Linked DNA regions of Coturnix japonica. The protein of the gene in region 1 interacts with the protein of each later gene in a pairwise test. Links are inferred from orthologs where the notes say so. Each region holds a gene or a part of one and is shown on either strand. Other genes may lie near its edges.

Evidence for each region.
Region 2: the proteins of KIF2A (region 1) and MRPL53 interact in binary tests that used the Homo sapiens proteins (3 or more experiments, as listed by UniProt). The two-hybrid records come from large-scale screens. The link is inferred for Coturnix japonica from reciprocal best matches to the Homo sapiens genes KIF2A and MRPL53.

The regions. Positions count from the first base shown.
Region 1 is NC_029547.1:20,727,631-20,732,238, forward strand, and holds part of KIF2A (kinesin-like protein KIF2A), read left to right. Parts: intron 1-36; coding exon 37-131; intron 132-800; coding exon 801-920; intron 921-1,320; coding exon 1,321-1,375; intron 1,376-2,792; coding exon 2,793-2,915; intron 2,916-3,449; coding exon 3,450-3,550; intron 3,551-4,608. UniProt on the Homo sapiens protein: Plus end-directed microtubule-dependent motor required for normal brain development. May regulate microtubule dynamics during axonal growth. Required for normal progression through mitosis. Required for normal congress of chromosomes at the metaphase plate.
Region 2 is NC_029517.1:109,901,139-109,906,400, forward strand, and holds MRPL53 (39S ribosomal protein L53, mitochondrial), read left to right. Parts: upstream 1-1,644; 5' UTR 1,645-1,688; coding exon 1,689-1,777; intron 1,778-2,204; coding exon 2,205-2,317; intron 2,318-3,999; coding exon 4,000-4,124; 3' UTR 4,125-5,011; downstream 5,012-5,262.

The DNA of each region.
Region 1 (4,608 bases):
CACGTGATCGTAAGTGATCATGTCTTTCTTTTCTAGGCCGAATTCATCAAGCTATGGTAACATCTCTGAATGAAGATAACGAAAGTGTAACTGTTGAGTGGATTGAAAATGGAGATACTAAGGGCAAAGAGGTAAACTTAATTATTTTAGAGCTTTGCTGTTTTTAAAAAATGTGTAGTCTCCATGAATGTTGCTTTGGAATTTGCAGTGGAAAGGAAGATAAAATACAAAACTTCATATATTCAATCATGCTTTGGCTATGGACTGTTTTGAATGGGAGCTTTTGGGCAAACATTGTCTACTGTTGTATTAAATTTCACTTCCTGATCTCAGTGTCATAGCTTCCAAGTTGTGCTATTTATAGATTTTGAACCCAGCTACAAAGGCTGACATTGTTAACCCCTTTTTGCAAGTAGAAAAATTAGATATTTTTGAGAAGGAGAATGACTTGCAGCTCAGACAGGAAAATAGTGGGAGAAGTAGAAAATTAGAGAAGTAGAGAAGTGGGAGAATTGCATTTGCTTGCTTTATGGAGGAACTGAACTTCTATGTTGTTTATTTACGTAACTTATTTTTGGCAGTAATTTTTCAGACTTCTTCATGCTTTAAGAAAATATGTCTTTCTGTGTCTCAGTTATATTTTGTTGTTCCTTTCTGGAAGTTTTCAACCTGCTTAGCCTGTTTAGAGTGAGATTTGAAGAAGCATCTTAGAAATAAATACACCTCACCAGTTTGGTGGAAACATACAAAACAAAAAAATAGGAACTCACAATTTTTTTTTTAAAATTTATTTTACATAGATTGATCTGGAGAGCATATTTTCACTTAATCCAGATCTTGCACCCGATGAAGATATTGAACCCAACCAAGAGATACAGCCACTACCTACTCCATCAGCCAAAGTAAACAAAATTGTTAAGGTTGGTAAGATCTGTTCATACTGTATTACAGAACTCATTAACTTGTTGTTATGTTTGAATTTTTACATTTGACTTCTGTCTGTGGATCTACTTGTTAAATATGTTCAGTTTTTTCCTGTGCTGAAAGAGGTTTTCTGAGAACCCATTTGGCAGTGAGAGTGTTAGGAACTAATACTTATAGCTAGATACATCTCAAGGAGAAAATATACAAAAGGAGATTGTTTTGGAACAGTTTGTATAGTTCAAGCAGTCTCAATTGTAGGCTCTTCAGAGATGGATTAGACAATAATCACCTCTCTGTGCTGTATTGCTGATGTTATGCTGGAAGCCTAGGTGTGAAGCTTTAGTTTATGTTTTAAATTATGAGGTAATCAAATGTCAGAGATTTCTGTCTTTATAGGTTCGACGGACTCTGGTACCTGCTAAGAATGATGTCCCTGCCAGGGATAATAGAGGTAAATATCGTATCTTTCCATTTCAAGGAAACAAAGAATGTGGAAATATTTTAACTTGGAGCTTTTCTAAAATTCTTTGTTTTAGTTCTGTGTTTCTAATTCATTATATGACAAAACAGAAGACATGGTACATAACTCTGCAACTTGTATTTCAGTAGGTACTCTGCGTCTTACTATTTGCAGTGTACCAAAGGATTAGTTCTTTGGTTTTGTAATTAAACTTCTCTTGGCATACTGTGTTTTTGGTGGAATAAATTCATGGTGTAAAGTAGATCTATCATATTTGGAAGTGATCTGGGAGTTTTTGTTTGTTCCTTATGAATCTGTTTTCACAGTTTTCTCTGTATTTTATAATATGTTGGCTTTTGGAATGTCATCTCTAAGCTATTAATTAAAACTGTTACCTTCAATTTCATGCTCTTCTGGGAGAGCTCATTACTAGCATGTACGAGAAACTGCCGAGATGAAGCAGAAGCACTTGAAGCACCATTTCAACAAACAAAATATTCAACTCTACTGGAGAGGCTTGCAAGCTCACTACTCACACTACATTCACTGGGAAGAGATAACACTGTGTCTTTAGAAAGGAGCATTCTTATCACATATGGAATCAATGCAGAAATTTAGGTAGACGTACCCCTTTCAACTAGGTCTCAAAAAAGTTTATTTCTTCCACAAGTAAATGGAGCTGCACTTGGGTGCCTTTCACTTCTATCCCTTTACTCCTTCAGATACTGTAGGTTCAGTGAGGTGAGACTATTTTTAAATTTCTTAAGAATGTGAAACTATGGGCCCATTTTCTTGCAATATAAATAAAATTGCATCATGAAAGGACCACGTATCTCCACATATATTCTTCATTTTATGTACGTTGCGCTGGTTCTGTAATAGAGTATGTAATAATTTGCACAAGCAGCATAGGTACTTCATAATTTGTTGTGTTGGTGTGTTGTAGAAACTCAGAAAAGCATGGGTGCAAGCAGAGGGGAGAAAAAATGATTGAAAGATAAAGGTGAATCAAATGGTCAGCTTTACATCTCTTTGATTATTATAGAAATGTGGCAAAATAATTACACATCACCTTCCCTAGAAGAATTAAATAAGTGCATAGATATGGAACTGAGGGACATGGGTTAGGGGGTAATATTGGTGAATAGTTGGACTAGGTGATCTGGAAGGATTTTTTCCATCTTAATGATTCTATGATTCTGTATGTATTAGGATATTAAAAAATAAAAAAATCTGCATTCTGACTGCCTTTAATAACGAACTTTCCATGTATATGTATATCTCACTTCCCTCCAATTCTCAGTAAACTGTACCTCAAAAGAGGTCTTGTTTTATTGTAATAAAATATTTCAAAATTGGATTGATATATTTTTATTTAATGGATCAGCTTTGTTCTTTTCTTTTGCAGTGGCTGGTTCTGCACGTGCGCGGCCCACTCAGCTTCCTGAACAGTCATCTTCCTCACAACAGAATGGTACTGTTTCAGATATATCTCCAGTTCAAGCTGCAAAAAAGGAATTTGGACCCCCTTGTATGTAAACCGTATCTCAAGGATTCTTTCATCCTGGACATTACATGTAGATTCTCTTGGATTATGTTGCTGTTCATAAAGGACATAAGTCTGTAGCCTTCCTTATGAAGCTTTTTCAGAGTACAGTGGCTAAACTATTGTTCAATTTTGCCGCAGTTGGAATTTATTTTATCTTCTGTTATCTTTTGTCTTTGCATCATGAACATGTGGGGTTTTTTGTTTTAATTTTTTTTTTTACATTTGTTTCAGCACTTTTTTCATTCAAACCAAGAGATCACATGTACCTGTCCAAATGTTTTCTAAGGATCACTTTCCTTATTTTTTTTTTTTTTTCAATTACTATCCCATTTCCATTCATTTATTCGGTAAATTTTAGGCACTGAATTGCTGCAATTATCTTGTACTAACACTGATTTAATTGAAAAGGTAGTAGATGTAAATAAGCATGTACTGATTAATTGATGTAATTGAAATGCAATTACTAAACTCTTGCAACACACTGAAAATATTTTAAATTATATCATTTTCTCCAAGCACGTAGAAAATCTAATTGTGTAAAAGAGGTTGAAAAATTGCAAGAGAAACGTGAAAAAAGGAGGTTACAGCAGCAAGAACTTAGAGAAAAAAGAGCTCAGGTGAGTATTTTTAGCCTACGTTGTACTTTTTTTTCCCCCATTCTTCCATAATTTTTATGAGCTGTGATAATCCTGAAATTTTTTTTTCTCCTATGTACAAATTTGATACATCTTTTTGGTGCATATTTGCATTGCTCTGATAAATTGCTATTTAGACAGGTTTCCCACTCTTTTTCTTCCTACACAAATAATTGTGTGCAGTTACTTACCTTTCCATATGTTATTTCAAAATCAGATGCTAATGATACCTATGTCTGTTGACAAAAATCATCCCAAGCTTGTGGCTTGGGATGTTTCAGTGTTACAGTTCATCATTCTTTATGATCTCTGATGCTTTGTTGGATAAGTATTGAGTCTCAAGTTCGAACAATTAATTTTTATTTAACTTCTTTGAACTTGTCTATGACTTTATTGCTTAGCTTTGCATCGTGCATGCAGCTTGGGAGCAAATTTTTTAGAAACTTGTGTGAAACAGATGAAGTTGCTAATCCTGTGAGGAAAAAGATCTAATAAAAAATTACTTTCCGTCACAGTAGTGTTAAGGCTTCAACAATAGTAGTAGTGTAATATTGTTGGCAGGCTTGTGAGTATGTGTCAGTCTCTCTAAAGAGCAGCACTGATCTGCTGGTGACAGAAGTACCACCACTGAGTAAATAATTCACCTAATTTGCTTCATGCTTTAATAATGTTTCTAAGCTGAACTAAAAGGACTGATGTTGAATTCGTGTTTTCTAGTTTTCATTTGCTTAAACAAATACAAAACATAACTATGTGGCTCGGGTCAGAGTCCTGTGATTTCCTCAGAGATGTCAATCTTCCTTGAGATGAGCCAACACGAGAGAAAGACCACTTAAGGGCCATCAGTCCTCAGAGATGGCCATCTTCCTTGAGATAGGCCAACACAAAAGACCACTTAAGGGCCATTGATCAGTATCTTATCTCCCTTTCGTAGCTCCCGGACTTGTCCATCTCCTAAACAAAGGGATTTCTCGAACCTTGGTTCCTGTGTGTCTCAGACAAAGGCAGTCCTGGAACCTTGGCCAGGACTTGCCTGAACT
Region 2 (5,262 bases), on another chromosome or scaffold:
GTTTTTTCATAATGGAAAGTGCAATGTATTTTGGGAGGGAGAATAAAAACATTAAAACTGTATCAACACTTCTAAGATTACTTTTGCTATTTAATTTCTATTGAATAAATAGAGAAAAGAGAATGATTTTTCTCAGTAACTGTGTAATTTAGAAAAATATAGCAGAGGACGATCAAAAAACAAAGATAAGCTCTATGAATAGGTTACCCTTTACAAAGGATGCCAGATGTTTAATGAACATTGGAAACATACTAAATACAAATTCTCATCGTGCTCAAATGCCATTATTACTGTGTTCCTTCCATCCTATCCCTAATCCTCACTAAGCTCTCCATAGTGCTGAGCTGAACAAAGTACCAGACCGTTGTAATCATTTATCAAGGAGGTTTCTGCCATCTAGCGGAAAAATACATTGCTTGCAGAAGCCACACCAAGATCGAAACCTTTGTTCAAGGGTTGGGCATGCAACTGCTGAACCCAGCCCATCTTATCAAATGCGTTCCCTTCCAGTATCGTCGCCTTTTGCAGCAAGCCTCTGTTCGGATTGATGCACTGAAAAATGCTGCCTCTAAATGATCCTTGGTCATACTGGCTACCCCTTATAACTAACCTCACTCAAAATCACACAGAATCACAGAATGACCTGGGTTGGAAGGGACCTCAAGGATCATGTAGTTCCAACCCCCCTGCCTGGCAGGGCCACCAAACATACACCTTTACTAGATCAGGTTGCCCAGGGCCCCGTCCAACCTGGTCTTGAACACCTCCAAGGACGGGGCATCCACAACCTCCCTGGGCAGCCTGTTCCAGGGCCTAACCACTCTCCTAGTGAAGAACTTCCCCCTAACATCCAACCTAAATCTTCCCTCTTTTAACTTAAAACCATTTCCCCGTGTCCTGCTAAAATCCTCATTCCTCTCAATTCCACTCAAATCCTCATTTCCCCTTATACTTACCTTCACTCATATCCTCATTTATTTCAGTCATCAGTGAGTTGTAGAATGGCTTGGGTTGGAAGGGCCCCCAAGGATCATGAAGCTCCAACCCCTCTGCCACAGGCAGGTCCACCAACCTCCACATTTAATACTAGACCAGGGCCCCATCCAACCTGGACTTGAACACCTCCAGGGATGGGGCATCCACAGCCTCTCTGGGCAGCCTGTGCCAGCACCTCACCACTCTCATAGTAAAGAACTTCCCCTGATATTCAACTTAGATCCTTCCTCCTTCAACTTAAAACCTTTTCCCCTTGTTTTACTGTTATCTACCCTTGTAAAGAGTTAACTTCCCTTCGGTTTTTAGGATCCCTTTAGGTACTGGAAGGGTGTACTGAGCTCTCCTCGCAGCCTTCTCTTCTCCAGGCTGAACAAGCCCAGCTCCCTCAGCCTGCCTTCATTATTCATACTGAATAAACTAGAGTACTTCTGAACCACATCCAAATCAGACAGGGACAGAATTAACATGAAAACAGCCATATGCAGACTTGCTCAGCAAGCCATCTCCTCACGTTAGGGATGAGGACAGCCAGCTGCTATCTGGAAAACGTAAAACCAAACGCTGTTTGGCAGCTGACAACATGGCTGTTACTGCAGACTCCATTTCCCAGGCGGCTCCGGGAACATGGCCGCCATCGCTGACCCGCCTCTGTGCGGGGCTGCCGGGACTCGTAGTACTGCGACGGGAAGAAGATGGCGTCCCGGATCCATGTGGTGCTGCGGCCCGTGAAGAGTATCGTAGTCCGCTTCTGCCCCTTCGATTCCAACGTGGAGAGCACCAGGTGAGGGGCAGCGGCGTGTCCCGGCCCTGGGGCTGCGCGGGACTCGGTGCTACCGCCGATATGAGGGGGGTGGATCCACACGACCTTTAAGGTCCCTTCCGACCCGACCCGAGGTACTCCAGGCCCTTTAATCACCTTCATGCTCTCCACTGGACTGTCCCAGGAGATCACTGTCTTGTCTATACTGGGGAGGATGTGTTTGTGTTGTGTAGCTCTGTAGATCCAGACAGTAATTGGATTGCTGCCTGGTAAGAAGTGAGTGTCTGAAATTATTGAATATAAATCCAATTCTGTTTATACCCAGCAATGTCAAACTATTCAAAAACTATACTATATACTAAAACTATACGTTTTGGATGCATCTCTCATGTATTAACTGTAATTTTTATCTGTGGAGCACTCAGTGTGTTTTAAAATACATTTTCAGGAAATTTCTTCAATGTATAAACCATAAAAGAATCCAAGCTACTAACAGGAACTGTGAAGTGTCTGCAGATGTGAGACATGATGGATCTGAACCACTTGTAGATGTTATGTTTGGTAAGAGTTCATTTTTAATCCTCACAAAAAGTCCTTCCACGTTTGTGGTTTCACAGTGTCTCCTCTATGATCATTTTTGCTGTGATTAATTTATTCTTTTTTTAATTCTCTTCTACACCTGGATGTTGCCAAGCTGGGAAGGAAAAAGGAAGTCACTAACACTAACATGTACATGTACAAGTCTTTACCAAACCTAACTCATATAGAGTTGAGTCCACTTTAGCAGTGGGACACTTGTATAACCTTGCAGTCAAAGTCAGTTCCAGGAAAACAAGTGTAGCTTTGCTTTGATGTTTTACACATCTGTATACACACATACTGAATTTTTGTTCTGTGTTGTCTTGTTTTCTGTGGTGGAGACATCTGTCTTAAGAATAGACAAGTTTAACACTTGGAGTTCTTTATGCAAGTGAGTAACTTGCTGCGTAGCTGGAAGGAACTGCTCATATAAGACCATACATGTGCAGACGGACATACAGAGTGAGGTCAACTGATGTACAGCAAATTACTTGGTTTCCTTTGGAGATCCAGCGAGTAGACAGGGAATTGATAGTGGAAATGTCATCAGTTCTGGAAGCAGCCCAGATTCAAGGCTATGAACAGATGGCTGTAATCTGATTTTGTCTTTTTCTCGGGCTGTATCTTCTTTCCTGCTGTGCTGTAATGGCCCAGTATGGCATGTAGCCTATTAAAGTTTTCATTATATTTTTTCCTGTTACCCACTTTTCTTTAAGCTTTCTGATATTTAGTGAATCAGTAGAAGTGTTGAGAGTGCTGAATGTACTTGTTTTGCCAAGCAAAGCCAAATTACTTCAGCGCTGACAGAGGTTTCTCCCTCCCTCAAGCCGCTTTTTTTCCAATCCTTGACTCTATCTGTGATGTATTAAGACTTACGCAGTAAAGCTTAGTGTTTTTCACAGTGTAAAGCAAAACAATTTATTTCACTAATGCCAAGAGCTACAGCTCTGAACTCCACTTTCTAAGAGCTGATTATTTTCCAACGGAAGAGTCTGCAGCCCTTCCAATTGGCAAATGTGACTGGAACATGGATGCCACGAATGGTACTGCATTAAATGGGTTTGACTATATCTTTTATATTTGCAAGTCTTGCAAAGATAAAAAAATAACTTAGGTACTATCCTTAATTTCTGATGCTCCCTCTCTGTTTTAAAGTGCCTTTTTTTTTTTTTCCTCCCCAGGAATTTACAAATCCAAGTGTTGTCTACTTTTTAATTTTATAACCACCAGATTGTATAAACCGTTTCACTGTTTTGGCTAAAGAAGTGAAGTAAATGGGCCATATACAACATGCTGCTAAAATGCTGGGCCATGTGTGGAAATTATGCCTACCAGTGCCTTTTGTGCCTTCTGTTCACTGACTTTGGTGGCATAGTGTGAGCCATTCTTATCAACAATATGCTTTTACCATACATATATCTTGAGAAACATTTCTTATTTTTTGATCAGACAGTACAGAAATGAAGATTACAATAGTTACAGTTTCATGTATTTGTTACAGTTTCATGTATTTGTTTGTTCCATAATAGGATTTCTTGTTAAGTGGACTCCTTTCTAATCAGACAAGATGAGCAGGGTATTTGGATTTGTAAATGCAAGCCAGAACTGCACACAAAAGTAACTGTGACTTAAATTTTAAGAACTTATAAATGTTTTCTTTCCAGCTGATGGAGAGCGATTGATAATGAAAGGAGCCAACCTGACAACAGTTGAAATGTTAACAGCACTGGGTTCCAGATGTAATGCAAAGGAGCTTAAGGCAGAACAGAAAAGCAAGAAGAATCCCTGAAGAACAGAACAACTGTGTTGCCATTTGTTAAAACAGGAGGCTGCAAAGAGAGGTTTTCTCCAATGCAACAAATTCTGAGAGAGATGGCCAAAAACTGACCAGTTTAATGCAGAGCAGAATCAACTGTTGAAGTTCTTCACCGTCTTCCCCAAAAGGAAAACACAGTAGATCAACAAATAGTGTGACAGCAGTGGACTGGAATGGCTTAAGATACACGAATGCAGCAGTGTCTGTTATCTGCATGTTGGACTAATGTCACATGTATTTGCATATAAATATGAATACTGCACATTGGTTATTAAATTAATAAATGCTAAAGTGAAGATAGGTCTCTCTAGATGTTATTTCCAACACATTTAATGTAGCTGAGAAACAGCAGCCTCCAAACACAGAGACTGTATTTGCAAGGACATTGGCTGTACAATTTATACTATGTCTGTTGCTAAGACCTTGCCATTTTCTTCTGTGATTCAAAAAAATGTGTGATATTGGCCAAATGTAAATTTAGCTCAGCAATTAAAGCAACAAAGTAATGGGGTTGTGAACACACAGTAGCGCTACTCATCTGGAATAAAAATAGCAAAATTTAGCTGAAAGGGAAACATAAACTAGTGTTTTTGGTAATTGGAGAAAAGAGCTGTCTCTGAAGTTTTGTTTTGAAATATTTTTGTCACTTGCATTTGGGAGATTGCATTAAATATTTCATAAAGATCAAAGGGAGAGCTTTATTTGGTGTTTGTAGTCCTGTGTCCAACCCTATTATTTGCCTGGGTGTCTCATCTGTATTGCAGAGCGCTTTGGGCTTGGGAGGGCTGTTGTGTCCTCAGGCTGTGCTGGTGAAAGTGGCAACTGCACATGTCATTAAAGTTCGGTTCTGAAAAAGTGCAGGTACTGTCCTATTGGGAGGTGTCCTACACATTGTTCATCGGGGGCTTGATTTTTTATTAAACTCTAGTACGTATATTTCCAACATGAATTTGTCAACAGACTTGAGGCACAAACCTGTGTATCTAAAACTAATGTTACTTTACTTTTGCCAAGATTTGTAAGCTAAAAACGTGCATTCTTAACACTGCAAGATACTGAAGCGATAAAACCAAGCACTCTGGGCAAGAGTGTACTCCTCTGATGATTATTA